4 linked regions of the Mytilus edulis genome follow. The protein of the gene in region 1 purifies or fractionates together with the protein of each later gene. This does not show direct contact. Links are inferred from orthologs where the notes say so. Each region holds a gene or a part of one and is shown in the gene's direction. Other genes may lie near its edges. The genes, in order: regulator of nonsense transcripts 1-like, histone RNA hairpin-binding protein-like, nuclear cap-binding protein subunit 1-like and nonsense-mediated mRNA decay factor SMG7-like.

Region 1 (8,411 bases):
AGGTAATGAAAATAAAAAACTGACATAAAAAAAATGAAATTTCTTGGAGTTTTTTTTTTTCTTTCTTTAATTTCATACATAAAAAATGGTCATTTGAAAGATTAAATTAGGTGCCAAGAGATTGCGAGAATGCAGGATTTTTCTCTATTTATGCCAGAGCTTCTGGGGGCCTTGAGCGGCCCCAAGACCCCCTGCCGTAAGGCACCAAGCTTACAGCTTGGTGGGCGTCCGGCTTCGCCGAACGCATGTTATAGCCGCCTATAATTTTAATTCAGCCTTCTACTTCCATTTTAATGGAAAGCCCTGATGTAGTTTTCTTTTTATCACACAAAATGGGATTTTCCATGCATAATCTATACACAAATATAGTCAAAATCTGACAATTTTGCACAACCTGAAATTGACCTGTAATGTGAAAAATATTCATGTGATGCATACTTTTATTACATTTTTGAAAAAAGCACGACAAAAACTACATTTTGACAAATTATTAAAAATTTCTATGGATTTTAATTAAGGCTTCCCTGCCACCTAACAGATGTTCCTTTAGGCTCTGAGAAGTTTAATTTCAATCAGAATGACAGAATTTTCTTCCACTTGGAATTAAATTGTAATGTATTAATAGTAATATTTAAACACATATATGAAAATGACATCCTAAACTCAGACTCAGGCACCTGTACGTTGTTGAAGCTAAAGTCTTAGAGCAGTTTCAAAACCTAACATTAGTAGTGACAGTCATTTGTCAAAAAAGTTGTGACAGAGAAATGTTATGCTATAATCATCATGATCATTGTGAAATTGATATATTTTGAGTATATGCCCCTTAGCATTGAGGATCTATGATTGGTCAATAAAAACTTTTATCTTGAATCTTGCTTCTTTGAGTTTGACAGCCAGTTTACAGAATTAATAATTTGCGAATATATGTTTGTTATTATAAGCTTTTGCATGTATATCCTATTACTCAATCGGTTAAATGATCCTACTCTTATCAGCTTATCTTACTTCAGGTTTCGAAGTAACCGAGTCAATTTTGTAAACACAGTTCAACGTGGTTTAGGTACCTGTGCACAACGTCACTGATATTGAGGGAACCCAAATTCGAATAAATGCAAGATTTCACAAGTAAAATGAACGTTGTTACAATGCGTATAAAAATACCACTATACAGTTAAAATTGTATCACTACATAAAAAAATCAATTATGGAATGAGCTGCCAAACCACATAAGACAGGAAAATTGTCTAACTCAATTTTCCAATCTAATACAGAACTGGAATGGCAGCTCATGCCAATGTAATGCATGCCATTAGTGATTGATACATAGCTTTGCTTCCCCCCTTTTTTTTATATATTAATACTAAAATTAGCTAGCTATGGTTTTATATTTCTATCTGCATAAACAGTACTATTTTATTTCCTTATGTTATGTATGTGCTTTCAATAAAACAGTACTATTTTATTTCCTTATGTTATGTATGTGCTTTTAATACCCTGCTTTAATGTATGTATGATTGTCTTAATATGTGTGTTTTGTTTACATATTATTTGCTTGTGTGTAATTTATTATAATGTCGATTTTAAAAGCTTAAGAGCTTGTGTTACTTTGTTTACTATGCATCGACAATAAATAATAAAACTTTGATTTGATTTGATGATACTGTTACTTCTAATTTTGATGGTCTATTGGTTTGTATTGTTGGTTTTCGATTGAAGGAGGTTTTTTCAAGTCACAAGTTCACGATCTGGGACTTAAAGTGTATTACCCTATTACAAGTCAGTGGCGTAGCTAGGTCATTTTTGCGTGTACGCCCGAACCTCGGCGAGGGGTCTGAAGACCCCAAACTGATCCATGTCAAACAATTTCTGGTAGTGGATTAGATCTAGGGAGCGAGGCCCCCGGAAGCTAATGAGTTATCGAGAATGAATACCATTCCTGTCATTAAAAACTCATCAGTATCAACATACTTTAGAATCTAGATGGTTTATTTGTTATGTTAAATTATTCATTTTGTTAATTTGAAATAAAATAGTTATTGGATTCAGAGATAATGTCAAAACAAGTAGCTTTTAAATATGTTTTAAAAGAGCTGTGAGGGTAAAGCCAGGCGCGTAGCTCCCTATACGCTAACACGAAGTTGCGTGCACATCGATTCGGCATGCAAAAAAAATAATGGCAAAATAAAAATTTATCAATTGAATGTTAAAGGAAACACGTATGTTGTCACTTTTTCAATTGATAAAATATCATTAAATAACGGCATTTGGTTTCAAAATAAAAGTTTTATTGGAGATGATGGCAAAATCGGACAGTAACTTGTATCTTTTACAAGATTTGAATTTGTAATACTGAAGTCTTTAGAAGACATGTAGTTTTGGAGCACATTTTACAGTGTACGGTTCATCAGTTTGGAATGAGATGTACCAATCGGCATTGGAATTATCAGGTCCCTTCGATATAATTGAAAATATGCCGAGGCGATGTGGTCGGCAGACTACCTGAGCCAATCACCCTGCAAACACGCCAAAACAGTATTGGAAAGTCTCATTATGTTTTGCGTTCATAGACCATATGATAAGGGAACTGGAGAGTGGAGTCGCGTACGTCTAGTATTATCAGAAAATCGCTTCTTTGTGCTGTATCTGCTTCATCGTGTTGTAGGAAATATAACAGACGAACAAATCTCAACATTGTCTGAGACATACGAAACTGACCTGGCATGTAATTTTGACGAATTTAATTGGGAGGTCGCTCGATGCCGAACATGTACGCTGGTTTATAACATCTTGCGAGTGCTACCATGGAGATCTATCAGTGTACTACGTATGTTGAAAACAAATGTACGATCAACAATGAACAACGACATACAGTTACTGCATATTCATCGGTATTTCAGTGTGAATATTGACAAAGTAATAGAGAAGTTTGTTTCTGCCTAGACCCGAAGAGCAGATTTTTGACGATTTTGAGTAAATTCTGTATCACAAATATGTTTTCTTTATGTATTACTCTATTCAGAAGATTTATTAATAGTTTTACAATAATATTTTTTTTATAAGTCCTCACTACATATAGTGCCTCTCATTAACCGTCCTTTGACCGAAAACCGAAAAAAAACATTTTTCTGCAAAAAAAATTTGGGAGTTGCTTGCACATTGTTTCTTTCTAGCTACGCCCCTGAAAGCAATTAACCAATTAACAAAATCACCTTTTAATTTCCAAATTTCGTAAATGAACATTAATCTTCAGAGATTTTCAGGTGCAATAATAGATATCGTAAAGGGTTCTGTGGAATGCTGTTTTTTTGTGTCAAGGATTCCCCCTGCAAATAGTGAATCCATTTATCATTCCATTACAGGATTTTTAAAAAATCCAACATTTTCTTTAGATATTTTGTCTTGATCTTGAGTACTAGTTTTGGCCCAAGTTTCATGATAATTTATGAAGATTGATGCATTGATAATTTATAAAAAGCCATATAGGATCGCTATGTCGCGCTTTGGCATCTTAAATACAAATGTATGTCACAGGCTCAACAAAACTGTAAACCACAAAACGATTCTAAGGAGATAAAGGATTGCTTAAAACAAAAGGGAAGGGAGTATAAAACTCACATTAGCTTCAGACTTGACAGAAAATGAACAAATAAATGATATGATTCCATTTGACTGAAAGTAAATTTTGTCAATTTTATTCACAATTACAAGCCAACGAAGAAAGAATTATAAAGCTGATGTGCTTCTAACAAGTTATTTTTATTTTCTTTAGATTGCTTTTTCAATAGCCTTGGAGAAGTCCATATATAATTAAGCAATCTGTTTGCATTCCTTCGTCTAGGTTTTGTGTAATATCATCTATGAAGGGCATTATGTTTGTCTGAGTGGGACATGATGTTGTTGGTTAGGTAATTACATGTATGTGTTCCATGATTTTGCACCTGCTATACACGTTAAAGATACCGTGGACGGTAGTTTTCTGCTTTGTACTTTTGACCTTTTTTTGAAGATAGGACAAACGTTGGCCATTTTCCAGTCTATTGGTAATTCTCCATATTCATAAGAGTTTTGGAAGATGATACTGAATATTGGTGTTATTTCGGTGGCTATACGGTTACGGTTTAGAACCTTAGCAGATGTAAGTTGGTCTCAGTGGTCCATAAGATATAACACATAAAACTTCAGTAAGAGTCGGTATATGCAATTCAAGTAAAAATACAAGCTTTGAAGAGCTTTTAAAAGCAGCTGCCGTGTGTGATCGATTTAGACTTTATTAGTATTTTCAGTATTCCATGCATGACATATCTGCCAGTGATGTTAACTTCTGGCATAGATGGATAATTTTTGTTTGAAGATCCACATCTATCTTGGAATTCCTGGTTTGAAATGCTTGTTCTCCCAGAAAAAGCAGACTGAAACTGTTGGTTAATTGTATATTTGCTTGATCATAATCTAACTTGACTGAGGATCTTGAAAAAATAGGGTCGACTACCCTATTTTTTCAAGTCAGTGGTAATTAAGACTGATTTCTGCTAATAAGCAAGCTAACCAAATACTCTACCTTAACCTACATACTCAATGCATTCTGCTGTATAAAAAAAGAATATCCATTAAATCATAGTATTCATATATATATAACATCACGAAAGACCAAAGTACATATGCATCTATCATGAGTCATGATAAAAAAAAAAACATATTTTATCTTGTACAACACTGAAGCCATATGTTTTGCACCATTTGAATGCATATCGGTAGATGTATTTATGTATTATATTTCGATATAATTTAGAGGCACTTTACAGGCTCAGTCCTGTGTTTCTACAATTTATTTCTGTCTTTTATTCATACCGGAACGTCATCATAATTTGTTGTGGTAGTGACGTCAACGGCCTTGGACACAAATGGCATGAGTTAGGAGGAAACGCATTCCGACCAATTATTTCCCGTTATTGACATGAATTAAGAGTCAACACGTTAAACAGATATAACAAAGAACCGTTTGTAATCAAGCGATGCCAATATGAGTGTTGACGCTTACGCCCCGAATTCCCAAACGTTGACATTCCTTGAAACAGAGGAGGATCTCCTTGGGGCCGACACGCAAGGAACGGATTTTGATTTCACTGATTTTACGCTCCCGTCTCAGACACAATCTCAAACTCAAGCATCACAGCTTGACTCCAATCAAAGCCAGGTAAATAAGCATGTCAGTTTTCTTATCAGTTTAACTTGTCATGGAACGAAAGTATGCAACACGTGTGCAAACTTGATTGACTTTCAGTTTCAACGAGTTTCATTCATGGCAATCATACATTTAAGTGTATACAATAAATCAAATATTTATAGTATTTACATTCCGTCAAATTACATTCATTTTATCCAGCCCTTTCAAAACCAAAAACATCCTTCCAATTTGAGCTGTCTCAACTAACACCTACTACTACTAGTACCAGCAGAGCTCTAGATAAGCTGCGTATATGCCTGATCATGCAATATAAAGAAAACAATTGAAAACCCAATACAAGTGCCCATTGCAGCGTTCAAACACCCAATTCATGCAAACATGCAAAGGAAACCCCTTTTGACATGATTGAATGTGAAAACCTTAAGTCACTATCGTGTTATCTATTACATTGTCGTTGTGTAAATCTACATTTGTAGTTTTGTTATATTTATAAGTGGAAATGTCCTTTTGTTCTTAAAATACAATAGAGTGACACCTCAAGTAGTTGCAATGGGTCCCTGTTTGAAGTTTCTGATGCTCAAAAAGTACATGTGTTGAAGAAAACAGGTTTCGATCTTCTCTGCGTAATCAGCGTAAGTCATGTCATCATATTTAATTCTATCGTATTGATCAGAATTTATCTAACACATGTCAATGAATTAAAGCAAAATAAAATTTGATAAATATTTAATAGAACCATGTCTCAATCAACTTGAAAGTAAGTAGTACACATGTTCCCTAGGCTATGATATGATCTTCTAATTTCAATGCCAAATAAAGACATTTGAACCCAATTTCACGGTCCACTGTTCAAAGAAAATGATAGTGCTAGTAGGGCATCCGTGTGATATTGGGGTACAAGTCAAATTGGCATCCGGTTAATTCAGCACCCACAGAAAAAGTCAAATTGGTACCTGGTTAAATCGGCATCTAGTCAAATTGGCACCTATTTGAAGTCAATTGGGCATCCAATTATATTTGATATAAATATATATAAACTATTAAAAAAATGAATAAATGATCTTTCTATTTCTGATTATTTTTAGTTTTTTTTTAACATTAATGACTCAAAATTCTATGACTCAGACTGTTGTTTTGATAAGTTTTCTTTTCAATTAATTAATTTTAAGAATTCACTAGTACCTATACAAATCTTTGTTGATTAAAAAGTCAACCAAACCCATGTCTTACTAGCATTATTAAAAGAGCTGTACATCAGTGTACATTGTATCTCTATAGAAGTAGTTATTGATGTTTTTTTTTTTCTTCATTGAAAAACTAAATAAAAAACAATGAAGCCTTTTCGCAAGATGTTGTTTAATCATGAGAAAGTTAGAAGTAGTAAGAGGGAAAACTATGAGTCCTTTTCATTAGTATCACTAATTATATGTAATTCTAAGGTCGTTTTGCAGGAAAGTTTAAACAGCATTAAACCAACAATCATGCAGAATGCTCATCTGGTTGAAACATGCATAAAAAATATCTTACACCTTTAATACACTCACATTAATTTGAACGAAAAATAATGCATACAAACCCCCCCCCCCCCCCCCGAAAATGTAAATTGGTCAATATTTTGGGACAACCCCTTCTTTATTTTAATCGATTTGCTTAGAATACTGCCGAAAAATATATATTAATTGATATAAAATATATAAGACATATTTAATATGGGTGCCCAAATTACTACATCAGGTGCTGATTTAACCAGGTGCCAAATTGACTAAGTGCCCATTTAACTATACTGGGTGCCGATTTGACCAGGTGCCGATTTGACTAGAATTCGACACATTCTTGTTTTTGAAAGGTTAAGAAATTCATGAACTACAAATATAGGACCCTTGCTAAACATGCAATTTTAGGCCACAAAGATTTTCTAATATTTTGTACAATGTACCTTTCTTCAATGCTGAGGATTGTAACTTGACATGTTGGATAGACTGAGACCTATGTTTTTCTTATAAATGAGAATTGAAGTTTTATCTTTTTGAGATGTGTTTGTAACTTTGTTTATAATATTTATCAGGTGAATGGTATAGATGGCAGTATCCCTAATGACGTGGATGCGAAAGGTACCATCGAGGTGAAAGTTAATAATGTTGCACAGGGAGTTGGGGAGCTGAACTTTGAGGAAGATGAAGAAGAACAGTTTTGTATGAAAGATCTCCCCAAACATGCATGCTCGTAAGTTCTCTTAATGATAACTATTAAAAGCTATAAACATTTGAAGTATATGGCTTATAAAGAATAATCATGATCTATAAATGTATTAGTTGGAAATGGGCGACAGCTTAAGTAAAGAAGAAACAGTGCAGTTTCATTTCAAAAATATGATGATAATCTTCCATGGCAATTTTTTCTAAATAATCTTCAGAGATAAAAAAAAATTGTAACAGAAAGGTGAAAAAACTAAAAGGACATTAAAACTCGTAAGTTGAAAATAAAATTACAGTACCAAGGCGAAAAAAACAAGACGACAAACAGGATACAAAACATGAAGAAGGTACAAATTTTATGTAATTAATTCCTCAATCCAAATACCTTAGACTTTGTATAAAAATTCACTTGTTAGGCAGGCACCTGCTACATTTTGTACATGTATTATTGACTATTTACCAACCTGATTTCAAATGGAAGTACAAGTTACAACTTCTGCTCTATTGATTGTATACATTATATTTAAACAAGGTTTTCTATTATAGTTACTGTGGAATTCATGATCCAAGCTGTGTAGTATTTTGTAACAGTACAAAGAAATGGTTCTGTAATGGTCGTGGTAACACCTCTGGAAGGTTTGTATTCTTGTCATTTATGAAGATAAAAAGTCATGGTATTATCAAGATTTTTCTTGAAATATAGAAATGGTAGAGAAACAGTTGAAAAATCTGTAAGAAATGTTAGATAATATTTTCCACTTTTATTTTCTCAAGCAGGGGTATATAGTGATCCTCCATTTGTTTGGTCGGGAATTTGTCTGTTCATTCTTTTATTTGCTCATCAGCACTTGATATGATATACCCATCTTCTAAACCAGTGGCTGTATTTCACTGAAATTAAAAAATAAATAAATTATATCCAACATCTTATATAGCTAATGGAATTGTAAAGCAATTCATGCTTTGCTTAGTAAAATTTTCAGAGCTGTTAGTTTCAGATGGGTAAACAAACTTAATTCTAGTAGTTT
Region 2 (7,839 bases), about 13 Mb from region 1:
AGTTTTTATTAGTGATTTTATCATCATAACACCACTGATATAAATTCCCAAGAACTTCTTCTTTAGAGTATAAAATCATGTAAAAAATATTTTGAAACTAATTGAATGGTTACAAGATCAAAATTAATATCCAGTAATGGCTTTAAAATTACAAATTTGGGTTAAAAAAAAACTTGCTGATTCATAGATATGATTTTTTTTCTTAATGTTAAACAAATATACTTTTTTTTTGGGGGGGGGGGGGGTGTCTTCATGTCTGTCCACCATGTAAACGTAACAATGGATCACAAAACATTCTTATTTCTAAATGTATAGTTTGAGATTTTCTTTTATAATTAGTATTTTTTGGGTTGCCTTGTGTGGTTTGTTTTCAGTAATAATATATTGTACCTTTTCTTTAAGAACAAGAATTAAATTTGGTTGAAAAATTACTATACAAATCTAAATGGAAAGGGAATTTCATGGATTGAGATAAAACTATTTCTTCCTTTTTTTAGGCAGTTAATGAGAAATAATATTCATTCATTCACGTAAAATCTTTTCCAATTTTGTCCCCAAGCAGATTGAGGTAATCAAACAATTATAAAGGTGTAGAAATGTCCAAGTGGTCACACCTCTCACAGTGGACATTACATAAACTTAAAGTGTTTTTTTTTGTAAGGCTTTCACTTCTATTTTCTGCTTCATTGGAAAGAAATTACATCCCTTTAATTGTGAAACTAATGAACCCCTTTAAACTTTTTTCTTAAAAGGGGAAAAGAATCAAGATTACTTGATATATAGATTATATTGTTCAAATGTTGTTTTTTTTAAGTTACATTTATTCTTTTGAAACAGATATTTCCTGTGATCCAGACTGAAAATACAAAATTTCCTGAAGATGATCCTGTGTAATGTCAAAAGTAAATATCCTGAAACACTAGTCAGATTTCCTGTATTTCAGTTATCATAATACACAAACAAATATTCAAAACATCAAATGTGATTGGTTGTCTAATCTTATTTCAAAATAGTGTTACAATCATTGTAAAAAGAATACATTCTAGCCTTCAGTTAGCGAAAAAAAAATTAAAACATTTTTTTAAGATCGCATTTCTTAATCCATAACTTCAGCACATAAAAGAGTATACTGCTTTATCCCTCTCAGACCAGTTTAAATTCATTTTCTTTAAAATAGTTTTTTTTAATTACTTGAGACAACCAAGGTTTGCTTTTCATGCTTTAATCTAAAAACTATAAATGTTTTACCTGATTCTGAAGAATCCAGTCTATCAGGTGTTGGTTGGCATTGTGTGGGTGGTGTATCGATGCTGGATAAAGATAACTTTCTTCTTGGTGTTCCTCCCCTGAAAATAAGTGGTAATTAAAGAAACTTGTTCGAACACAAATCAGATGACATTAACAACTTACATTTTTAAATTCACATACCATATATCATATATATATATATATATGCTTCACATATTGCAGTTGATTATGCAACAGTGAATTCTATTTAATTTAATTTAACAGTAGTATAACATGAAAGAACCTCTGTTTACATATGCCATAAAAAATAAACTTCAATCAAAAATACAATTTTAATAAATCAACATATTGACAAATGAGTAAAGTCATCTTGCATCACAACCGCTGTAAGATTATGTTTTGACTTGAGGGGGCAAAAAGTTTTCCAAAGTCCATTTAAATTAATACTTCCCAATGATTGTACACCCTATGGGAACATAAAATGCAACATAAATTTTTGTTTTGACAGTTAACATTATAACTGTTAATAGTAGTTACAGAATTACAAAATACTACCTTTTGGTATTGATAATGCAATATTAAATTTTATTTGTCTTTTCCATGCATGTGATTATGTTTATAAAAATATATACATGTCTACAATTTGAGATTATGAAATACTTTTCCCTGATAGGGATATAATATTCACCCTTCAACATTTTTAATTGAAATCTTAGTTTCTGCATTAATACCAGAACATTAACAATGAGGTACAATGTTAGACTTTACCAGTAAAGAAACAGTTGAATATATATTTCAAATATAAATAAGTTAGAAAATTAGATACGAGCCACAAAGTTGAGATGGGGAAATTATTTTTTGTCCAATTGAGTTAAAAAGCCAGATCAAGCTGCATGTATATTTACTTAAACTGCAGATATATACAATAATCATGACAACAGTTATACATGACAAATGGAGCAAAATGTGTATACATAACCTAATTTGACATTTTAAGTAAATTTACATTTGATTTTAATAATCATTAGTACATTAACCTTATATATAACACTTATCTAGTTGCAAAAATGAAGCTCTTATGGTCCTTATATTTTTCTTAGGCAGGCTACAAATTGTCAATACCATCATCACAACAAAAAGAGCGGAAGCAGGACAAGTCGCCCCACTGGCAAGTCGCCCCACACCTAGTCGCCCCACTTTTTCACCAACTCGCCCCACTTAAAAAAAAAAAACGCCCCAACCTGGATCACCAACTCGCCCCACTTTTTAAAAAATCGCCCCACATGTGAAATTGGTTAAATCATGTTTAATATTACTCCTGCCAACTCGCCCCACTTAATGGAAAACGGTAATATTTAGATATCAAATTAAAATATAAAAACTCGCCCCACTTAAAAATAATTTTCGTATTATTGAAGAATAACTGTATTTTTTTAAGATTAGTTATTTGCATAACAATTGAAAAGAAACCTGTTAATTGTATCATAATGCAATATATCATAATACTTAACGGATTTCAATTAACAGCAATTTGTTATCAGAGCAATTACCAGATTGATTACTTTTGTCTCTGAATTTAGAATAATTCAACACTAACGACCAATCAGAGGAAGGCAAATGTTTCTTTCAAGTAAATATCAAAGTAACCTTTGACATGCATTTACTATGTCTACTGTGTATCCTTGTGTTGTGTGTGACGGAATTTAACTTATATACAACGGGATAACATCTTTTCCCATAAGTGGGGCGAGTTGGCAGGAGTAATATTTACGGAATTTAACTTATATACAACGGGATAACATCTTTTTCCATAAGTGGGGCGAGTTGGCATTACTACATTCATCCTGGTTAATAATATAATATAAATCTAGATATTATCGTTTTCTTTCAAGTGGGGCGAGTTGGCAGGAGTAATATTCACGGAATAACATCTTTTTCCATAAGTGGGGCGAGTTGGCATTAATACATTCATCCTGGTTAATAATATATTAATCTAGATATTATCGTTTTCTATAAGTGGGGAGAGTTGGCAGGAGTAATGTTTACGGAATTTAAGTTATATACAACGGGATAACATCTTTTTCCATGAGTGGGGCGAGTTGGCTTTACTACATTCATCCTGGTTAATAATATGTTAATCTAGATTTTATCGTTTTCCATTCAGTGGGGCGAGTTTTCAGGAGTAATATTAACGGGATTTAACACATTTCACAAGTGGGGCGATTTTTTAAAAAGTGGGGCGAGTTGGTGATCCAGGTTGGGGCGTTTTTTTTAAAGTGGGGCGAGTTGGTGAAAAAGTGGGGCGACTAGGAGTGGGGCGACTTGCCAGTGGGGCGACTTGTCATGGATTCAAAAAGAGCTATGGTCCGCAGCTTCATGTAACACTTATCCTGTTATCAACTAGTTAATTGGTTCCACAATTAATACCCATTCAAATTAATTATATAAATATATATAATTTTATTGCTGGCGTCTTATTTGTATTAAAATGTAAATGTATGAAAATACGCTGAAAATACACAACACAAACTGTTGATATCTAATATAAAAATAAAAGCAGGAACTTAAGGAACAAGTGATAAATAAAGGAATCTATTTTAAGTATAATAACTGAAACTGTTCAGTGTCCTTACCTCCCTGTATGGAGTTCGCTCAGATTCATGGCAAGGCTGGTGACTGGTGAATTCATTTTTGATGGAGCAATATTAAGTGCATTCAAAAAACTTAAATTATTGCTAAGATTTTTCAATGGTAAACGCAATCGTGGAGGCTTCTTTGAAATGCTACTTTTAGACATCTTTCGAAATCAAGGCAAGACTGTAAATGAAATGAGGGTGTTGATGATAATGATGATGATAACGCTGACAAGGAACTGTACATCCAGATCTTGAAGTTTTTGTCCCTCAAAATTCTACCAGTGCATTTATCTTCCGTTCAACCGCTAAATCATGGAATACACAACGACACTGCCACAAAGCAACCGCAAGATTTTATCATGAACTGTATGCCATTTTTACTTGTTCCACTCATAAAATGTATAAAATTGCGGTTGCATTGACAAAGCAAATTCTTTCCTATTCCATCCTTTGTGTGTAGTTCCAATACACTTTTTACATAGTATATTTTTGTAGATCAGATGTTCTTCAGCTGTTCTGTGTATAGGAGAAGCCGCCGTCCGTTTTGAAAAACAACACAGATCTAACCAATCAAACTTCGGGAAACCAAGCATGTACAAACAGGAAGTAGATTTGGAGGCAAGTGATGTGTATTGGCTTAAATGAACAAAAATTATTTTCTTGGTATTTATTTGCCCTCAAATTATGAAGTTTAACAAAATATGCACCATGAAAAAATAAAGATTTTTTTTGCCAAAAAAAATAAATCTTATGAATATTCATAATTCTTTGTTTTGGATTGAGCGCGTGCGTAAACTAGTGGCGGGAGTTACAGAGAAGAACAACAACAGACGGAAGAAAGAAAGTGGGAACGATACAGAGACTTAAAATGACAACTGAAATGAGAAGAAGAGACTTAGATGCACACAGAAGATCAAGAGATCGGAGAAATCAACACTTTTCAAGAAGGTTAAATTTGGTTTTGACAAAGCTTTAATTTTTTTAAGTAGAAAATGAAAATTTATTGGGTGAGCGTTTGTTTAGCCCGACCTGACCCTTGCGGTAGAGAGTAAAATATTTATTTAGATTAAGCGTGTACGAACGATTAAAACATAGCTCAGAAGAACTTATTGTTGAATTTTTAATGTACCAAATTAAATATGCTATACATTTGTGGATTGAATGTTGGCTCCTACATTTTTATAATACATTTGCGCCAACAATATTATTTGTGTTGTAAAACTTTATAATTTAGTCCAAACAATACACCTTATCACTATTTGTCTGCCATTACTAGACATCACATAGGTTCCCTTAAAAATTTGTCGTCATGATACAAATTATATATGACGATGTAACATTAATTGCATCTGGACAACCTTGAGCTCCCTAACAATGAAAAAGTGATTGTTGTATGACGTCAATAGTTTGAGCAGGACCATGTCTGGGATCAGCCGATAAGGTGTATTAAGACTTCTTCAAGTTCTTGAAAGGCTATTAAATTTTTATGTCCCACCTACGATAGTAAAGGGGCATTATGTTTTGTGGTCTGTGGCTCCGTTTGTTCGTCTGTTGGTCCGTTCGTCCCGCTTCAGATAAAAGTTTTTGGTCAAGGTAGTTTTTGATGAAGCTGAAGTCCAATCAACTTGAAACTTAGTACACTTATGGCTTATGATATGATCTTTCTAATTTCAACATATGTTCCCTATAGTATAATCTTTCTAATTTTAATGACAAATTAGATTTTTACCCAATTTCACGGTCAATGGAACATGGAAAATGATAGCCCGAGTGGGGCATCCATGTACTTTGGACACATTCTTTTTTTTTCTGTGATGCCTTCCAATGACATCCTATTGTAAAAATTTGGCAGACCTGAATTTACACTACAGATAATGTAAATTAAAGATTACCGAAATTCTTGTCCATCAAATTTTACCAAGTTTGATATTTAACTGTAGCATTTAATGGGACTACCTACGTGAAGAATAACTGTTATTACCGTAAAAATTCTTGCCAAATGAAGTTAACCGTAATTTTTGGTGCATGATGATGAAATGAACACTTTCTTATAAATAATTTTAAAAATCGTCGGTTTAACTAATTTAAACTCTTTAATGGTAGCTGAAAATGACTGGTTGACGCCTGATGATAAAGGGCATTACGACCCTCTATTATGTCAAAATAGGTTACTAGACTGGCTTCAATTCTCCCAATTTTTTGTTAAAAAGAAGGTTTCTTATTTTAAATTCCTGTAAACAAACATAAGTGTCTTGTAAACACTTTCATTCAAGCATTATACCAAGATAACTTGTGTTCAGCAATGTTTTTTAGTAGGAAATATAAGAGGTATGCTGACCCCGGTAAAACATTTCTCATCGTCGGCTGTCTGAAGCATTGACTGCGAAAAGGTTAAAACCATACATTGTAGTTCAAATGATAAATCAATACAAAAGATAATGGCCCCAAAAATCATGTATTGAAGGCTGTTTTTTTTTTAACTTGATGATAATGTTGTCCTTTATTCAAATGTTTGTACTATGACAAAAAATATCTAAATCCATAGTTTATATTGTTATCACTGAAAATTAGTATCCGTTGTAGGGTATGATACACTGGCCCTTGTCTCGGAAAATTTATGGAGTTGCAAATTTCCTGTTTACCAGGATGATATTAGAAATTTCTAATGAGAACACTGAGTTCAGAAATTGATAGATATGTCTTGTAACTTCCATTAGTAATTATTTCAGTCTGGGTGAGTCATAACTAGAATGAAATCAAAACCAATTTTGTCTATGTTGGGTGTATGCAAACATTATTGATTCAGATTGTTATTAAGCTTAATGTTTAGTGGCACTTATTTCATACATATTCAGGAAGCGAACAGAACCCATGAAGGGAATTCTGGTCTGTTTTGGCGATTTGGTAGATTTTGTTGATTTGAATTGTGTCAATTTGAACTTGTCTGATATATATTTTGCCCTTTATTTTCAGATTGTGAAGGATCAGAAACAAATATTATTATTGTGACATCTAACTGTATTTGAATTATAAATTTTCAAATGTTTTATATTGTCTTCTTTTTTTTTCAGGGAGGAAAAGTCATCTGGACCTCTTAGCCCTCTGAGAAGTCCAATGAATAGAAAAATACAGTCAGATATTAACTGTGATAAGAACAGGTAACATGATAATGACTCGATGAAGTTAGCCCAGGGTTTCAGATTTTTTTTGAAAATGCCCTTACCTACGGTCAAGTTATATATAGATTTTACTCTCCAACATCAGTTTTCACTTTTCTGTTATATTTTTGAAAAACATGAAAACAGGCTTGATATATGAAAAACAAAAACATTAACAACTTTATTTGTCATGTTTGTGAAGATACAACCGCTTTGAAAAAATGTTTGATAACAGTTTTAAGTACAAATTTTGTGGAACAGAAGGGGCATTAATAGGATTGTTATTGCTTCAATGATGACAAGAAATGGGAAAGGCAGCATAAAAAACCCTGACAATATCTGCAGAAAAACTGTAATCCTCAATGTTATAAGATGCAAGCTAGGTTGGACATTTACCTGCCTCTAATTTTGTTATGCACATACATTGTAATGTACTATGAAACATTTATAAAGCTTTAATACTCTTGATACAAGAATATTTAAAAAATGATAAATCATCAAAATTAATTATTAGAATTTATTTAAAACCACTGTTCTTATTGTGTAAACTGACATAGCCTTAGGGTTTCATGTTTATGGTCGATCAAAGAAGATGCAGGATCTGATAGATTATTCTGTAGATATAGAATTATTTCGATTCTAATAGGAATATTTGAACGTTTTCACTTCGAAGCGGACCTATAGTAGACGCTCAGAATGTCGCCATTTTGATTTCATGAACCAAAAACGTTATAGAAAATCAGCATTTATCAATAAAAAAAGAACAGAAACATTTAAACTTACTTTTAGAATGTTTT
Region 3 (7,742 bases), about 11 Mb from region 1:
ACCGTGATGGCTGCCGTGGCTAAAAATAGAACATAGGGGTAAAATGTAGATTTTGACTTATAACCCTAAAACTGAAGCATTTAGAGCAAATTTGACAGGAGGTTGAATTGTGAATCAAGTCAAGATCTATCTGCCCTGAGACGAATCAGACAACCGGTTGTTGGGTGATGCCCCTGGATTGTCAATTTTTGAGGAAATTTGCCATGTTTGGTTATCAAAGATATAGATAAACTGTAAAAAGCAATAATGTTCAGCAAAGCCAGATCTACAAATTAGTCATGTGACCAAAATGGTCAGTTGACCCTTAAGGAGTTATTGCCCTTTATAGTCATTTTTTACCAATTTTTAGTAAATTTTTGTTATCTTTTACAAAAATCTTCTCCTCTGATACTACTGTGCCAAATTTAACCATACTTGGCAACAATAAGCATTGTGGTATCTAGTTTAATAAATGTGTGCGGTGACCCAGACAACCAACCAAGATGGCCGCCATGGCTAAAAATAGAACATAGGGGTAAAATGTAGATTTTGGCTTATAACTATGAAACCAAAGCATTTAGAGCAAATCTGACATGTTGTTTTGTTGTTTATCAAGTCAACATCTATCTGCCCTGAAATTTTCAGATGAATTAGACAACCGATTGTTGCGTTGCTGCCCTTCAATTGGTAATTTTTAAGGAAATTTAGCCGTTTTTGGTTAGTATTTTGAATTTTATTATAGATAGAGATAAACTGTAAACAGCAATAATGTTCAGCAAAGTAAGATCTCCAAAGAAGTCAACATGGCCAAAATGGTCAGTTGACCCCTTAAGGAGTTATTAGCAATAACTTTATTTTATTAAACGGTGAATGGATCTCTATGATTTTAAAAGAAGGTTCAATACCACAAAGGAAGGTTGGGATTACTGTATAAGTATTACGATTTCTCTGAAATTGTACCACAATGTTTAATACAACAAGTAGAAGGTTGGGATTCACATAAGGGGTTAGGGGGCTAACAGTTAAGGAAATAATGGCCTAAAAGGGGCCAAAATAACATTTTTTTTCCGGACAATAACTTCTGTGAAAGTGTATTGATCTCTCTGTAATTGTACCACAAGGTTCCATTCACAAAGGGTAGGCTGGGATTGAGTTGGGTGGTAATTGCTCTAATCATGTAGGAATTAGAAGCCAAAAACAAGCATTTTTTTCTTCTAGTTTCCAAACAATTGCTTGTGTTTAAGTGTATGGGATCTCTCTGAAATTGTACTATAAGGTTCCATACCACAAAGGAAAGAATTGGATTGAGTCCTAGAGTATTGCTCCAAGGGTATTCCAAAAGTTGGAGGGGGGATTTTTTTTCATTTTTTTTAAGGAATTCATATTTTTTTTAAACAATTTCAAATTTTGGAAAAGTTTCAATAAGAAATCTTCGATTGCACAATAGATTTGTAAGATCTTTGGCCACATTTATTTTGTTTCAGAAACCTATATTATGTCAAAAAAATTGATCACAATCAAAATTCAGACAGTATCGAGCTTGAATATTTTATCCAATTTGCCACAACTGTTCAGAGTTCGACCTCTGCTGTCGTATCAGGCTGCGCTCACCGAAGCATTTTTTTAAAAAGAAAGTTCAATTCCACAAAGGGTAGGTTGGAGATGACGGTCCAACTTTTTAGGAATTGAGGGTCCAAAACAAGCATTTCTCTTGTTTCAGGCTAATAACTTGTGTAAAGTATTTTGATTGCTCTGAAATTGTACCACAATGTTTAGGGACTTTTTTTTTTATCTGGGAGGGGGGCTGGTCAAAATACAGGGGGGATCAAGTTTTTTTCTGTATGTGGAAAAGGGGGGTTCAATTTTTTTATAAATTCAAAGTGGGGGGTCATTTTTTTAAACATAGAAATCAGCATTTCACATACTTCAAGAGATAAAATTTAAAGATGAACATTACAACAATCAAATCAAAACATATTTTTAACATCATTCATAAAGACTTTAGTGATGTAGGAAGCTGCATAGGTGCTTCATAATCCGAATAATCAAGTCGTTATACATGTATTTCACTCACTTTGATCACTAAATTAACAAGCGTTACTGCCAAGTTTATTTTTAATCAGCTTAATAGTTGGAAAGAAATTTAGTATAAACGAAACGAAATCTACAGCGATTTATGCAATTTTTTTCCCAAAATACAAACCATACAGCATCATGAGTGGAGAAATAAATTCTCCAATAAATTATTAAATATTCATCTACTTTGCATTTGAATATTGATAAGCAAGATGTTTCTGAAATGATGAACACCAGTAAAAAGTAAAATCACAAAAATACTTTGTGTATCTTTTTGTTTTCATTATAAGATCTCTTGGGGTCAATTTTACCTCTAACTTCCTGAAAATGTGTACTTTTAGGCTAATAAATCAAAATTTTAATGGTACTTTCACACATTTATAAATGAAATGTGACAATAAATGAGTAAATAAATTGTTCAAGCTGAAAGCATGAACTATCCATATTTATATAAAAGTTTAGCGACTCAATTGAGATTTCAATAAGACTTTGCGTAAAACTTTAGTTTAAGAAGCGTTCAAGAGAGGGACATATAATGGATTCCTCTCAGTAAAAATGCGTTGTTACTGTTTCAAAAAGTTATTTTTTACAGTTACGTAGGGTCAATAGATTAGCACAAAATACAATGATATAGGAAATTAGAAAAAAGTCAGAAAAACTACTCAGAGCACTGGCTTCTACCTACTTCAGGTACTTATATTTATGGAATTAAGAGGCGTCATGGAAAAACAATATTCCAAGATAATTTTCTCTTAATTATGATTTTGAACTAAATCCACTGAGAACATTTCATTTTCAATATTTTCGTGAAGTGTTTGAAAGGAGAAAATTTTGTTTGATAGTGGGGGGATCGATTTTTTTTAATGATTTTACTGAGGGGATCAAATAAAAATAGTGAAACATTATGGGGGGATCAAAAAAATTCGTATGTTTAATTTCAAATGACAAGACCCCCTCCCAGGTAAAAAATGATAAATAATACCACAAGAAGAAGGTTTGGATTTATTTTGGGGTTATTAGGAATTTTAAAGGGCCAAATACAAGCATATTTTTTTTTGGGGGGGGGGGGGGCTGAGGGGGGTAGGAGGGGTCCTGATCCCGAAATCCCGGCTTAAAACCATGAAAACCCGAGGTCCCGAATTTAAAAAAAAATCCCGGATCCCGAAAGGGTCGATCCCGAAAATCCCAAGATCAAAAACACCCGAAAAATGCCCCCTTGTTATTTAGTTTCCAGACTAATTTTTTTGTCAGTGTTTGGATCTCTCTGACATTGTACCACAAGGTTTCATATCTTAAAAGGAAGATTTTAATTGATTTCGGGGTTGTTTACCCAAACACGCAGGAAAAAGGGTGAAAAACAAGCAAATTTCTAGTCCAGAGAGTAACTTAATTGTGCTTTAGTGTATGGATCTCTCTAAGATTGTAATACAAGGTTCCGTATTACAAAGGAAAAGCTGAAATGAATTTTGGGAGTAATTGCTCCATGGGGGGATTCAAAACGTTGTTTTTATTGAGGGGTTCCGATATTTCAAGTTTTTCAAATTATTTTTTTTCGGAAAGTTTCAAGAAGATATCTTCAATTGCACAATATTGCACAACAAATTTGTAAGATCCTTGACCACGTTTATCTTGTGTCAGACACCTATATATAGATACCGGTATTATGTCAAAAAGGTATCACAAATTGTCAATTTAAGTTTAGACAGTATCAAGCTTGAATAGTGTGTCCAAATTTGCCCCATTGTTCATTGTTCGACCTCTGTGGTCGTATCAGGCTGCGCTCGTCGAAGCATTTGATCTTATATTGTATGCAATAGGTCTACTATATTTTGTTTATGAAATGTTTGTAGGATGTAGATTTATTAATGAATGGGCCACTTTTATTTATACATGTTTTATTCAGTTTGATTTTTTTATAGTCACGCGCATATATTATTATCTTCCTTAAATCAAACTTTTTATTCGCTAAGATATACCGAAATATTCATTTCGGGTTTGAAATTATTGTAAGTTTGAGGTGTATCAAATTGGTCCGATTTATGATGGTTTTATGGTTCACGTAAACTTTTAGTACGTTAGTATCCTCTATTTTTCGGTTCTAAGCTGCAAGGCGGAAGTAAGCGCAAGATCAACTTCCGGGGAAACAAAAAGTAGCGTGAAAATCTTGCGTTTCAAAAATCGACGTTTAAAATGTCAAGTCGTAGACGACACGACTCTTATAGTGACGAAGAAGATGGTGAGTAATATATCTTTCCATTAGTAGTTGTCTTTACGTGCACGAAATAAAACTTACAACAAATACGACCAAATAATGTGTCAGTGAGAGCAGAGCGGTTTTTATTTATATTAAATTATCCAGCCCTGCTTCGCATAAAGAACGGGTTATGGTGCAAATTGAAATTTATTTATCAATTAGAATAAGAATTAGGAAAATTGTTATCTGCACTTTCGGGATTTAATATTGTGAAATCAGATTTATACAGTGCACCTTTTGGTTGAAATGAATGTTTTTAAATACAAACCACTCTGCTCTCAAATTATTTGTTCGTACTTGTTACACCCCCTCCCCCTTTTGCAGCAGAGAGGGCATTAAGTTTTACCCTTGTTCGTCTGTACGTCAGTCCGTCTGTATGTCTGTCCCTCCCAAAGTTGGTTTCTGTTCTCTACCTTTAATTTGCTTCAACCAAATGTTATGAAACTTATACAAAATGCTTATTAACACAAAACAAAGATTAAGTTTGGTGGTGTCACATTTACCTTTGTTGAGTTATGCCCATTTACAAATGAAAAAAATACTGATTTTTTTTGTTTCCGTTCTCTAACTGTAGTTTGCCTCAACCAAATGTTATTAAACATAAACATATATAATGATAAGAATTCCAAAATACAGATCAAGTTTTGCGGTGTCACTTCATCCGTTCTAGATTCATGCTCCTTTACAAATGGAAAAATAGGAATTTGATTTTAACCAACTACAATTACGGACACAGGAAATAACTCCAATTTGCAAAATTTATTTTACCAATTACATCAACTATAACCAATGGCAATGCTTAATATACAATGCAATGTTCATTAAAAAAAATAAAAACAATCTTTACCTTCGGTGCTTACAAGCACTTTGAATAATGTTGTTCAGTTTTGTCCCTTTATAACCTTACATGATATTTTGTTTCCATTCTCTTTCTTAAGTTTGTCTAAACTCAATTGAATGAAATGTTTATATATTTATAATGCTTATTACCACTTATCTCAGTTTAGGTTCAAATTTTGGAAGCATTACTTTTACAGTTTTTGAGTTATGTCCCTTTATAATGTTATATGCTAGCTGGGGCATCATTCTCCATTTATTTTAAATGTTTTTTTGTTAAAATGTAGTGGCTCAAAAATAAGACTACTACACTACAGTGTTCAAGCGAGGATTTCAAAAGGGCAGGGATCCAATCATGAAAAGGGTACTTAAGCATGCTGATTGATAATTCAAAAAGGGCATGCCAAACATTGTATTTTTCCCCCAAATTGAAAGGCTATGAAGAAATACAGAAAATTGCTAATGAAAAGCAATGGCAATCATTATTTGTGGGACAAGATTAATTTGATTGATAATTTACTTTCTGGAAATTAGCTTTCTGAAGTCTGTATCTCAACTTTTATCATCTTTGGTTAAAGCTACTGTACTTTTCAATCTGCAGGTGTACATAGTACTTGCCCATGTTGACAAGTTATGATAAGAGTTCAGAAATTTGTTTTTGTGTAAAAAATAAAGTTATGTGATTTTATGTTTAGGTCCTTCCTCAGTAAGAAAGAGAAGACGAGTATCAGAAAATGTTGACATTGAAGACAGACTTGAATCACTTATAACTAGAGTTGGAGAAAAGGTAAACAAGAATAAAACAAAAAATAAATCAAAAAGCACAATTTAAATCTATTTAAATATTTAAATCATGGTAGATTAATAGAAAGTAATAACTGAGAAATAATTCTTTTCATGCATGTCCTTGATTCATTTTATTTGTAAATATTTACATTGAGTGTTATTCTAATTTGGTTTATTTTCATGAAACTATAGCAGAGGAATAGAATCATGGCGATGTTTATACTAAGTTATAAAATGGATAAGTTAACCATGTAACTACCATAAACATAGAACAGCATAATCATGATAATAGGCCACATCAACATTTGACTCATTCAAAATTCAGTTATACAACTAATAGACAAAAAAACCAATAACACATGGTCCAGGTAGTCAGACTTGGTTCAAATGTAAAATGTGGTGGTGTAATTTGCTTGCAAACTTTACCCAAATGTCTTACGGAAACACACAAAAAAAAACTTCCATGCTCTAGCTAAAATGTTTACTAAACTTAAAACTTTATCATGTTTATAATATTATCTTTTGAATAATATTCAATACTTTTGTCTTGCAGAGTACATCCTCTTTAGAAAGTAACCTTGAAGGCTTAGCTAGTGTCCTGGAGGCAGACTTGCAGAATTACAAGACAAAAATCCTTAAAATTTTAGTAGAATGGTAAGTGATGAAGTTAAGTTTGATCATGTTTGATGCAACTCTGTATAATTGTGTATTTATAAAATTAGATAGATTCCTTGTAAAAAATACTTAAAAATGTAAGTTATTGAAAAGGATCTTGACAAACACAAGCAGAATTCTTTATTAGTAATAAACGATGTGTTTTCACTTACAGGATTCTGTTTGGATAGGAATACAGTGGCGGATCCGGGGGTGCGCACCCCCCCTTTATTTTTGCCGATCAATGCATTTGTATCGGGACATATGTTTTGCACCCCCCCCTTTGCCCTGGGTTACCTGGGTTAGCACCCCCCCTTTCGAAAATTCCTGCATCCGCCCCTGGAATATACCAGTGGGACATTATTATAGAACTAAATTAATGAATGTAAAATATTCATATCTTATAAACATGATAAAGCACCTGATTTCTTAAAGCTCTTCTATAAAAGCTTGCAAAAGCTAACCTTTGATCAACTTGGTTGTTTCATTATGTTTGCTTGGATGTTAGCAAACAATAGGTAGGCGTAGTTTCAATCTGCTTAATATATACATTTTACTTGGATTTGATTGGACAATAAAAATTGACATGAAATAAAGTTAATGTTTGTTGTCCTATTAAATTTCAGTATATAGTAAACAGACTGAAACAAACTACCTACCTGTTGTTTACAAACATCCAAACAAACATAGCAAGCAAGTTGATCAAAGGTTTGCCTTGCATGCTTTTATAGAAGAGCTGTAATGAGTTTTTACATTCTGCTTGCAAAACTTGCATAATTTCATTGAAAAATAAAAGCAATAGATTTTAATAAATATCTGTATTCTAGACAACTGATAAAGTTTTTTAGAAAATATGTTTTGGAACTAGGTTTTATTTTTTTACATTAAATAAGAAAGTCGATTTGAATTTTAAAGGAAATGTCCTGTTTAAAGCATAAGTGTAAAACAATCAATTTGGTAAATTTGGAAATGCCATTTTACCTCCCAGTAAAAGATAGGGACTGGACTTGGATCCACACTATTCTAACCCTGGTGTTACACCAACTTGAATTGAATATAATACATATACTGATGCCTGAATTAAGACAAAAATTGTGATAAAAAACAATTTGTTTTATTACTTGTTGGATTTCAATGAGAATTGATAGCCTCCAAT
Region 4 (8,120 bases), on another chromosome or scaffold:
CGGTTATCTAAAAATACTACCATCGCTAACATTTTTAACAATAAAAATCGTGGTTACCCTTCTATCGATAAGTGTCATGCCAAAAAATGACTTACATGTCCCCGTCTTTCCACCAACAATACGGTAAGGTCCACGTTTAATGGTCGCACATTTTCTTTAAATTTTGAAACTGATATAACTTGAAAAACAAACAGTATTATTTATTTACTCACATGAAACAAACCGGGCTGTGGTATTCAGTACGTAGGAGAAACTGGACGATATTTATCTAAACGCACTCAAGAACATCTGTATCGTTTTAAAAGACCCAATAAATTCAAAAGTATCATTTACCAACACCTTAAGAAGCACAACCATCCTTTTAAATATTTAGCAGTTCAACCTTTAGAAGTTGTAAATAAGCAGCCTGGTGAATCGCATTCAAAGTTTGTACGATCACGGAAAATAATTGAATTATATTGGATTAAAAAATTACAGACAGTTTACCCTCTCGGTCTAAATGATAATATCATGGGAATTGGTAATATATCTAGAACCAATTCCGTTAACATTTTGGATATAGTTTCTAAAACTGTTCGTAAAAAACGTTCTCACGGTCGTAGAACAAATCGCAATCAAAGAAAATTTCGGGCCAATCATACCAATATTTCGGACCTAATTTCTATTTCAAAAAACAACGGCAGACATTATCTGTTAACAAAACTCTGTTCGTTACCGGTTAATAAGTTAAATAAAATTTTGGAGGATTGCAACACAATTTCATATAGCAGTCCTAAGTATGAAATTGTTCAAATTATTATGGCATATTGTTATTCTAAATTATTTCCCAAAATTGATCGCCCTGAAGATCATAAAAAACATTTTATTAAAATTAAGTATGTCAATAAAGGCTTTGATTTTGTAAATATTGCCGGTATATTTAACGACCATTCTGTTAAAGAATAAATTCCTGGATATTTTGACAATACTGAGCTACCTCTTATTTGTTATATTTACAAGAAATCTACCCGGAAATTTGTGTTTAATTATAGTCAATTGTGTAAAGATGTTAATATCAGTGAAAATACACCTACTTCATGTAATTGCAGTAATTCCGAATATATTTATGGACCCATTTCCCATGTTATAACAGGAGATCTTAACATCGTTCAAGACCGAGAGTTAAAATCATTCCTCAGTAAAGGACCTAAATATCGTCCCCCGTCAATTATTAATTGGAATGAGTGTCGTAATATCATCCACGACTCACTCCATACTTACTGTATGAAATGGATAAAACGGGAAAAAGCTGACAAAAAATCTTTGGACTCTTTTTTTAATTCAGTAATGAAGATAGTTGATATACGTATTCAACATTTTAAAGAACATTTTACTATAAACAATAACCACAATAAACCTATTTCTCGTATCAAACATAAACTAAAAGAACTAGCCAAGGAATTTGTTTTTGTCCCGGCAGATAAAGCTGCTAATAATATTATTATTGTTTGACGTAAATTTTACATTGAGGTTCTGAAAAAGGAAATCACCAATTCACCAACATTCCAACTGACTCCATTTTCAGAAAACGAAATCTGTAACAAACATAAACTTTTAGCCACCGCTTTACAAGCAGAGCCAAATACAATGAAAGTCCCAACTATGTATTGGCTTCCGAAGCTACACAAAACCCCTTACAAATATAGATTTATTTCGTCTTCAAGCCATTGTTCAACTACTAAATTGTCTATTCTTCTTACCAGCACACTTGGTACAATTAAAAACCTGATAATAAATTGTTCAAATAAGGCCTTCGAAAATAGTGGAATAATTACTTTTGGAGTGTCAAGAACTCGTTGAAAGTACTTGATAAATTGCATGCTTATATTGGTGATTTTGAATCTGTTCAAAGTTTTGATTTTTCTACCCTGTATACCACATTGCCTCACATTCTCATTAAGAAAAAATTCACACACCTAATCAAATGGGCATTCAAAAAATCAGAATGTGAATATATATGTTCAAACTCTTTTAGGTCATTTTTTAGTAGCAATAAACAAAAAAACTATGTTAATTGGACATGCTTTGATACTATATATGCCCTTGAATTTTTACTAGATAACATTTTTGTTCGCTTTGGAGATTCCGTCTTTCGTCAGATTATCGGAATTCCAATGGGGACTAACTGTGCACCACTTATTGCGGACCTGTTTTTGTATTGTTATGAGTTACAATTTATGACAAAAATAAGCAAAGACCCATCGAAACAACATCTGATAAACAAATTTAATAATACTTTTAGATATTTGGATGATATTTTGGCTCTCAATAATGACGACTTCAGTATGTATATTAATGAAATTTATCCTGTTGAACTTACTTTAAATAAAGCTAATACTAACAATGACCACTGCCCTTTTCTCGATCTTGATATCTATATCACTAATGAAAAGCTGAATACTAAAATTTATGATAAAAGGGATGATTTTTCATTTCCTATCGTTAATTATCCGTTTTTAGATGGTGACGTTCCCTTGTCACCATCTTACGGTGTTTATATATCTCAACTTGTACGATTCGCTCGTGTATGTAACAATGTTTTCGATTTTAACGAGAGAAATTTATGTATTACTGAAAAATTATTACACCAGGGTTTTCGATATCACAAACTAGTCAAAACATTTACTAAATTTTATCATCGGTATAAAGACATCATTCGTAAATATAGCTCAACATGCAGACTTCTAATACGTTCAGGTATTTCACATCCAATTTTTTATGGTAATATTCTTTATAAAGCACAAAGGTGTCAGTATTCACCTCGGAAACTTACAAAACCTTTGAATAGACTTATTAAGAAGGGATATAATTACGATACTGTTGTCAAGTCATTAAAGATTGCATATTTTGGCGTTAATATTGAGTCACTGATAAGGTCTTTGCATCGGAACTAAACACATTTATTCTAAAAACAGTTGTTGGCATGACACGGGTTATGTTCTTCTCATATATGTTATGATGGTATGATACTAAACCCCTAACGGGAAGGATTGTGCCTGATGTTCATATGATGAAATCATAATCTTTCAGTCAGTTTAATTGAAGTCTGGAGCTGGCATGTCAGTTAACTGCTAGTAGTCTGTTGTTATTTATGTATTATTGTCATTTTGTTTATTTTCTTTGGTTACATCTTCTGACATCAGACTCGGATTTCTCTTGAACTGAATTTTAATGTGCGTATTGTTATGCGTTTACTTTACTACATTGGTTAGAGGTATAGGGGGAGGGTTGAGATCTCACAAACATGTTTAACCCCGCCGCATTTTTGCGCCTGTCCCAAGTCAGGAGCCTCTGGCCTTTGTTAGTCTTGTATTATTTTAATTTTAGTTTCTTGTGTACAATTTGGAAATTAGTATGGCGTTCATTATCACTGGGCTAGTATATATTTGTTTAGGGGCCAGCTGAAGGACGCCTCCGGGTGCGGGAATTTCTCGCTACATTGAAGACCTGTTGGTGACCCTCTGCTGTTGTTTTTTTATTTGGTCGGGTTGTTGTCTCTTTGACACATTCCCCATTTCCATTCTCAATTTTATTGAAGTGAATTGGTGAATCTGGTGAATCTGGTGTTTTTGACTGGCTGTGGTAAAAAGTAAAGGTTTGGATCTACTGCAATGAGTTTGAGTGAGATTTTGTACATCATTGTTACTCGATTGACGTTGCTGTGAGTTTCAAGTAGCTTCCATCTAAGATGGTCAGTCACTGCTGGTCGTATGGTACCTGTTCGTGACGTACGTAGCGTGCTGCCATTCTTTGTACTTTTTCAATGTTGTTTTTAGCTTGTTTTTGAGGTGACCAAACTGAAGAGCAGTATTCTAAACTTGGTCATAGTTTTTACCATGGATTTGTAAACCAAACATTTTTTTTTTTTTTTTTTTTTAGTTTCTTAAGAATAAAGATCAAGATCTTATTTGCTTTATCAGTAATGTTCTTGATATGGGTATCCCAAGACATGTTATTAGACTGACAAGGTGATACAAAATATTTTGCAGTATTGACGGATTCTTAAATGTTGCCTTATGTCATATGTGAATGGTGAATACAATCTAGTACAGTGAGACTTTTTCTAGGTGGAATTGCATACCCCAAGTTTGTTCTGGTTTTTAAAGGCAGTTCTATAGGTTATGTTGTAGGATGGTACAGTCTTGATGATTTTTTTTTATATGTCTGTATAAAATATTTTAATCTACGAACAAAAGTGTTTTAATGTTACTGTTACGTTTATGAAATGGGGAAAAGTACTGTAGTGGGCACAAGACTGAGCCTTAAGACACCCCACTGCCACATGCATTTGACTATAGATACCTCTACGTCATGGACAATCAATTGCGTACTATTATTAAGGAAGGCTGATACCTAATTTCAGTTTTCCCCTTATGCCATAGTTATCCATCTGCCTTATTAAGTGTTTTCTGTTATATTACACCAGTCCAGGACCTACCGTAAACTAGTCCGCTGACCCATAGTATTTATTATACCTTTGAAAAGATCATGATATTACTACATACATTTTGGCAAGAACATGTGTATATATGTATATATAAATAAATTGTTCCAAGATTTTGGATAATTATCAATAAAGATCTACTCGAGTTATCCCCCCCCCCCCCCCCCTAAAACAGAAAACACACTGATTAAAAAAAAATTATACTTTAATTTGAAATTTCGATAGTGAAAAAATAATTCAAATATGTCATTATCACACATATTAAGTCTTCCTGGGTGAGAAATTAAAGCCGTTTAAAGAGTAATTAATGGTGTAATTAATTATTTTTAGAGGAAAACCCATACTGCTAAGGGAGTTAATTTGGTCTAACCGGAAGTGCATTTCAGAAAAAGATGGCGACAAGCTAGCGAACAACTATTTTCGGTTTTGAAAAGTATGAGTGCAGCAGCACAGGTTTTAAGGTACTGGATACGCTGACACGAAAAAGAATTATATTTCAATTAACAAAAATGTACACTAAATGAGCTTGAATGTCTTGGTTTTGTTTTCAAGCCAACATTTATTAAAACGCATGATTAACTGTTTGGAAACTGTTTTTCATAGTGCGTAGTACTGAAATTCGTTTTAAAACAAATAGGATGTATCCACTGAACATTTACACCAATAAAATGAAAATTCCTATTCTTCTGACAATTTCTGTCTACCACTGAATCCCATAATGGACTAACTTGCTTAGAATTGGGTAGTTTCAAAATTAATGTCAATAAAACTACTGAAGGAACAAGTTTTTATTTTGTTAATAAGTATATATTATATATATCTATATGCTTATGCAATTAGAAATTTTATTAGTACGTATCAAGATTGAGTCAATAGCAATAGAAGCAATGGCTTATTTTATGACTGGAAGACAAAGAAAACAGGTATAATAAACACTCAAGAGGTAACCCACTCAAGACAATACATGTACATGATACCACTATTTGGAAATCTTTCCCAGTTGAGAACTTGACCTGAGAATCTGCCCCGCTTGAACTATTGACATCATTCAACGATCACTTTTGCATTGCCATGATTGTGGCATCAGATATTTTGTATTATGTCGTCAAAATTTTACGATGTCCTTTGTGATGTCCAGTATTGCAGACTGCAGGGGTTTCACTTCCTTTTGTTTGAAGGGGCCAATTAGAGATTTAAGCAGGCCCTTATCTGATAGGAGGGGATTTTTTTTAAAATTAGACGCAATATCCTGCATTCTGGGCATTAAATTATAGTTCTGAAAATGTCACTTTTACCACTAACCCTCCAAGATTTAAACAAAAAAGGCTTAAAAACCTGCATTCCTGGCAGATTTTTGTCTACCTTTGGGACCCCTTAAAAATTTGGACAGGGTTCTCGCTAAGGATTTTTGAAGGCGAGTCCAGGGACTCATCATTTTAAGCCATGATGAGTCCAACAGCTAGAAGAAAATAATTTATTGCAATATAATGTAATATTATAGTCTCCATATCCTAATAGAGCAACGAAATGACATTAAATTCAGATCAATTTTAAACTTTTGCTATAAAATGATGATATTCGTGTTTAACTGTGTTCAGTTTATATACAATATTTCAATCTTGATGCATCTGTGGACTCATCAGTTTTGAAAATGGTGAGTCCAGACAAATTTTGATGAGAACCCTGTTGGACAGCACTTCCCCTGCACCCAGCAGTTTTAAATATCCCCCTTCCCATTATCCCGGTCCTTCCCATTATCCCGGTGGTATGAAAAGATATGTAAAGAAAGGAAAACAAGAAGTGCTGGCCAGGCTCATTTGAAAGAAAACATGAGCTTCCACTTCTTTTAAATTTCATTTGATAGCTTTTAAAATGGTTACATACAATGTACATGTACCTCACAACTGAAAGTATCACCAGAAATATATCTATGATTTGGAATGGGACCAGAAGTTCTGCCAATGCACCTTTTCATCGATGTACCCTGTCCCCTTTTCGGATTCTCTGTAGTTTACGGCAGACCAACGGGGCCCGTTGTAGATCAATAAACAGTAAACTTTAACTTCATTCAAACTGTTCCAAATCTTGTCAAAATACATAGTAATCCAAACCTTTTCAACTCTTTGGCGTAGTAGTTGTTGAAGTGAAAAATTCATGAAGTTCTCTTCATTACTATTCATTCAATCATAACAACGATAAACATGTGTGTCAAACAGGAAGTCTGAAATAACAGCCAATGAAAATGGTCGTTGCAACCGCATGTTGGTTTAAAATATAAACACAAATCTTCGAACTCAGTTGTCATGATTTTACATAGAAAGATCTCATAAAAAAAAATTAGGACTTCTTTTTTTTTAAGGGCAACTGAACAGGCCGGAAATTGAATTGAACAGGTCAAAATAGCCGGCGGCTGGTTCTTAATGAAAACACTGAGACTAATAGTGACAAGGTGTATAATGAATACAGAATACAGTTTCCTATTTTATTATGTACATGTAATTTGCAGTATTTTTGGAAATCATAATTTTTTTCTGTCAGACACAGGACTGACAAAAATAAACCTTTTTTGGTCCTTCATTCTTTTTTAAGTTGTGACCTCATATATAAAAATCTCTCGATTAACCGAATGACATCACCGAATGACCATGATGACACTTAAATTTTGAATTTCCAAGCAAATATTGGTGACTTTTTTACATTGATTTAGCAGTAATATTACATTATAAATGTATGACATAACTTAAAACTGATTTATTAAAGCAGGTAAGTTCATAAAATGTCATTCAAATTTTGTGGATAAATCTAACATGGTGACCAAGGATATCTAAATTATTTGCACAAGCCGTTTGACTGAGGGGAATTAATTTAACATGTCATTATGTGCTATAGCAAAAACGACCTCATAGTTTTGGTCATTGAAATCTCAGGAACCTTAGCGAGTTATCAAATTTTGATAAAATGTAGATAAATATCACAGGTTAAGTGTCCATAAGCTTTTCATAGAGTAATAAGCAGTTTACCTATAAAATGTGTGTCAATAGCGTAGGTTAATGGAGTTGGAAGATAATTTTTGGCATTGTGTTACGCATATCACTGTGACTTGCAATCAGCAATATTTTTTAAGCAAACCCAAACTTAATCCCTGTTCCAAATGTTATACAACATGTATCATTTATTTAAGAAATCATTTAAAAAGATTTAATAAAGCAAATCAATAATATAGAATGGGAATAAATGTCATGTATGCTTCCTGAAAAATTCCAGTGGACTATTTTATTGCAATGTCCCTCCATCTGTCTCTGTGTCGGAAACAAATGGATTCTTGATTGTAACCTGAGTTTCCAATGCTGGATAGGAATTAAACTAATACAGATGAATGACAAAGGAAAGGAGAAGACACCTATCATTTTTGTGTTCATAAATTAAAATGTTTTGTTTTTTAAAATATATATTTTTGTTCGAAAAATACCTCAGAATAATTTCTGGATTGAAATTTTGGTTAATGAAGCCTGATTGACATGATTGGGGTGTAATTAGGAAAATTTGTAAGATATAGGGTAGGGGAAAACATTTTTAGATTATAGAGTCAATAGTTCAAGGTCTGGTCACTTTATTGCTAGATAGAAACTTCAGGAAA

The links.
Region 2: the proteins of regulator of nonsense transcripts 1-like (region 1) and histone RNA hairpin-binding protein-like purify together in Homo sapiens (affinity purification with western blotting; 4 studies listed by BioGRID and IntAct, with this or other methods). This does not show direct contact. The link is inferred for Mytilus edulis from reciprocal best matches to the Homo sapiens genes UPF1 and SLBP.
Region 3: the proteins of regulator of nonsense transcripts 1-like (region 1) and nuclear cap-binding protein subunit 1-like purify together in Homo sapiens (co-immunoprecipitation; 3 studies listed by BioGRID and IntAct, with this or other methods). This does not show direct contact. The link is inferred for Mytilus edulis from reciprocal best matches to the Homo sapiens genes UPF1 and NCBP1.
Region 4: the proteins of regulator of nonsense transcripts 1-like (region 1) and nonsense-mediated mRNA decay factor SMG7-like purify together in Homo sapiens (affinity purification with western blotting; 7 studies listed by BioGRID and IntAct, with this or other methods). This does not show direct contact. The link is inferred for Mytilus edulis from reciprocal best matches to the Homo sapiens genes UPF1 and SMG7.

Annotation. Positions count from the first base shown.
Region 1 is NC_092347.1:39,449,656-39,458,066, forward strand, and holds the start of regulator of nonsense transcripts 1-like, read left to right. Parts: upstream 1-4,843; 5' UTR 4,844-5,023; coding exon 5,024-5,197; intron 5,198-7,253; coding exon 7,254-7,411; intron 7,412-7,929; coding exon 7,930-8,019; intron 8,020-8,411. UniProt on the Homo sapiens protein: RNA-dependent helicase required for nonsense-mediated decay (NMD) of aberrant mRNAs containing premature stop codons and modulates the expression level of normal mRNAs.
Region 2 is NC_092347.1:26,235,576-26,243,414, reverse strand, and holds the start of histone RNA hairpin-binding protein-like, read left to right. Parts: upstream 1-4,479; 5' UTR 4,480-4,752; coding exon 4,753-4,832; intron 4,833-6,955; coding exon 6,956-7,042; intron 7,043-7,839. Other genes in the region: M-phase inducer phosphatase-like, read right to left, coding at 1,249-1,346, 3,882-4,045. UniProt on the Homo sapiens protein: RNA-binding protein involved in the histone pre-mRNA processing.
Region 3 is NC_092347.1:28,671,495-28,679,236, reverse strand, and holds the start of nuclear cap-binding protein subunit 1-like, read left to right. Parts: upstream 1-4,138; 5' UTR 4,139-4,245; coding exon 4,246-4,291; intron 4,292-5,841; coding exon 5,842-5,933; intron 5,934-6,485; coding exon 6,486-6,586; intron 6,587-7,742. UniProt on the Homo sapiens protein: Component of the cap-binding complex (CBC), which binds cotranscriptionally to the 5'-cap of pre-mRNAs and is involved in various processes such as pre-mRNA splicing, translation regulation, nonsense-mediated mRNA decay, RNA-mediated gene silencing (RNAi) by microRNAs (miRNAs) and mRNA export.
Region 4 is NC_092345.1:80,930,105-80,938,224, reverse strand, and holds the start of nonsense-mediated mRNA decay factor SMG7-like, read left to right. Parts: upstream 1-4,834; 5' UTR 4,835-4,918; coding exon 4,919-4,944; intron 4,945-8,120. UniProt on the Homo sapiens protein: Plays a role in nonsense-mediated mRNA decay. Recruits UPF1 to cytoplasmic mRNA decay bodies.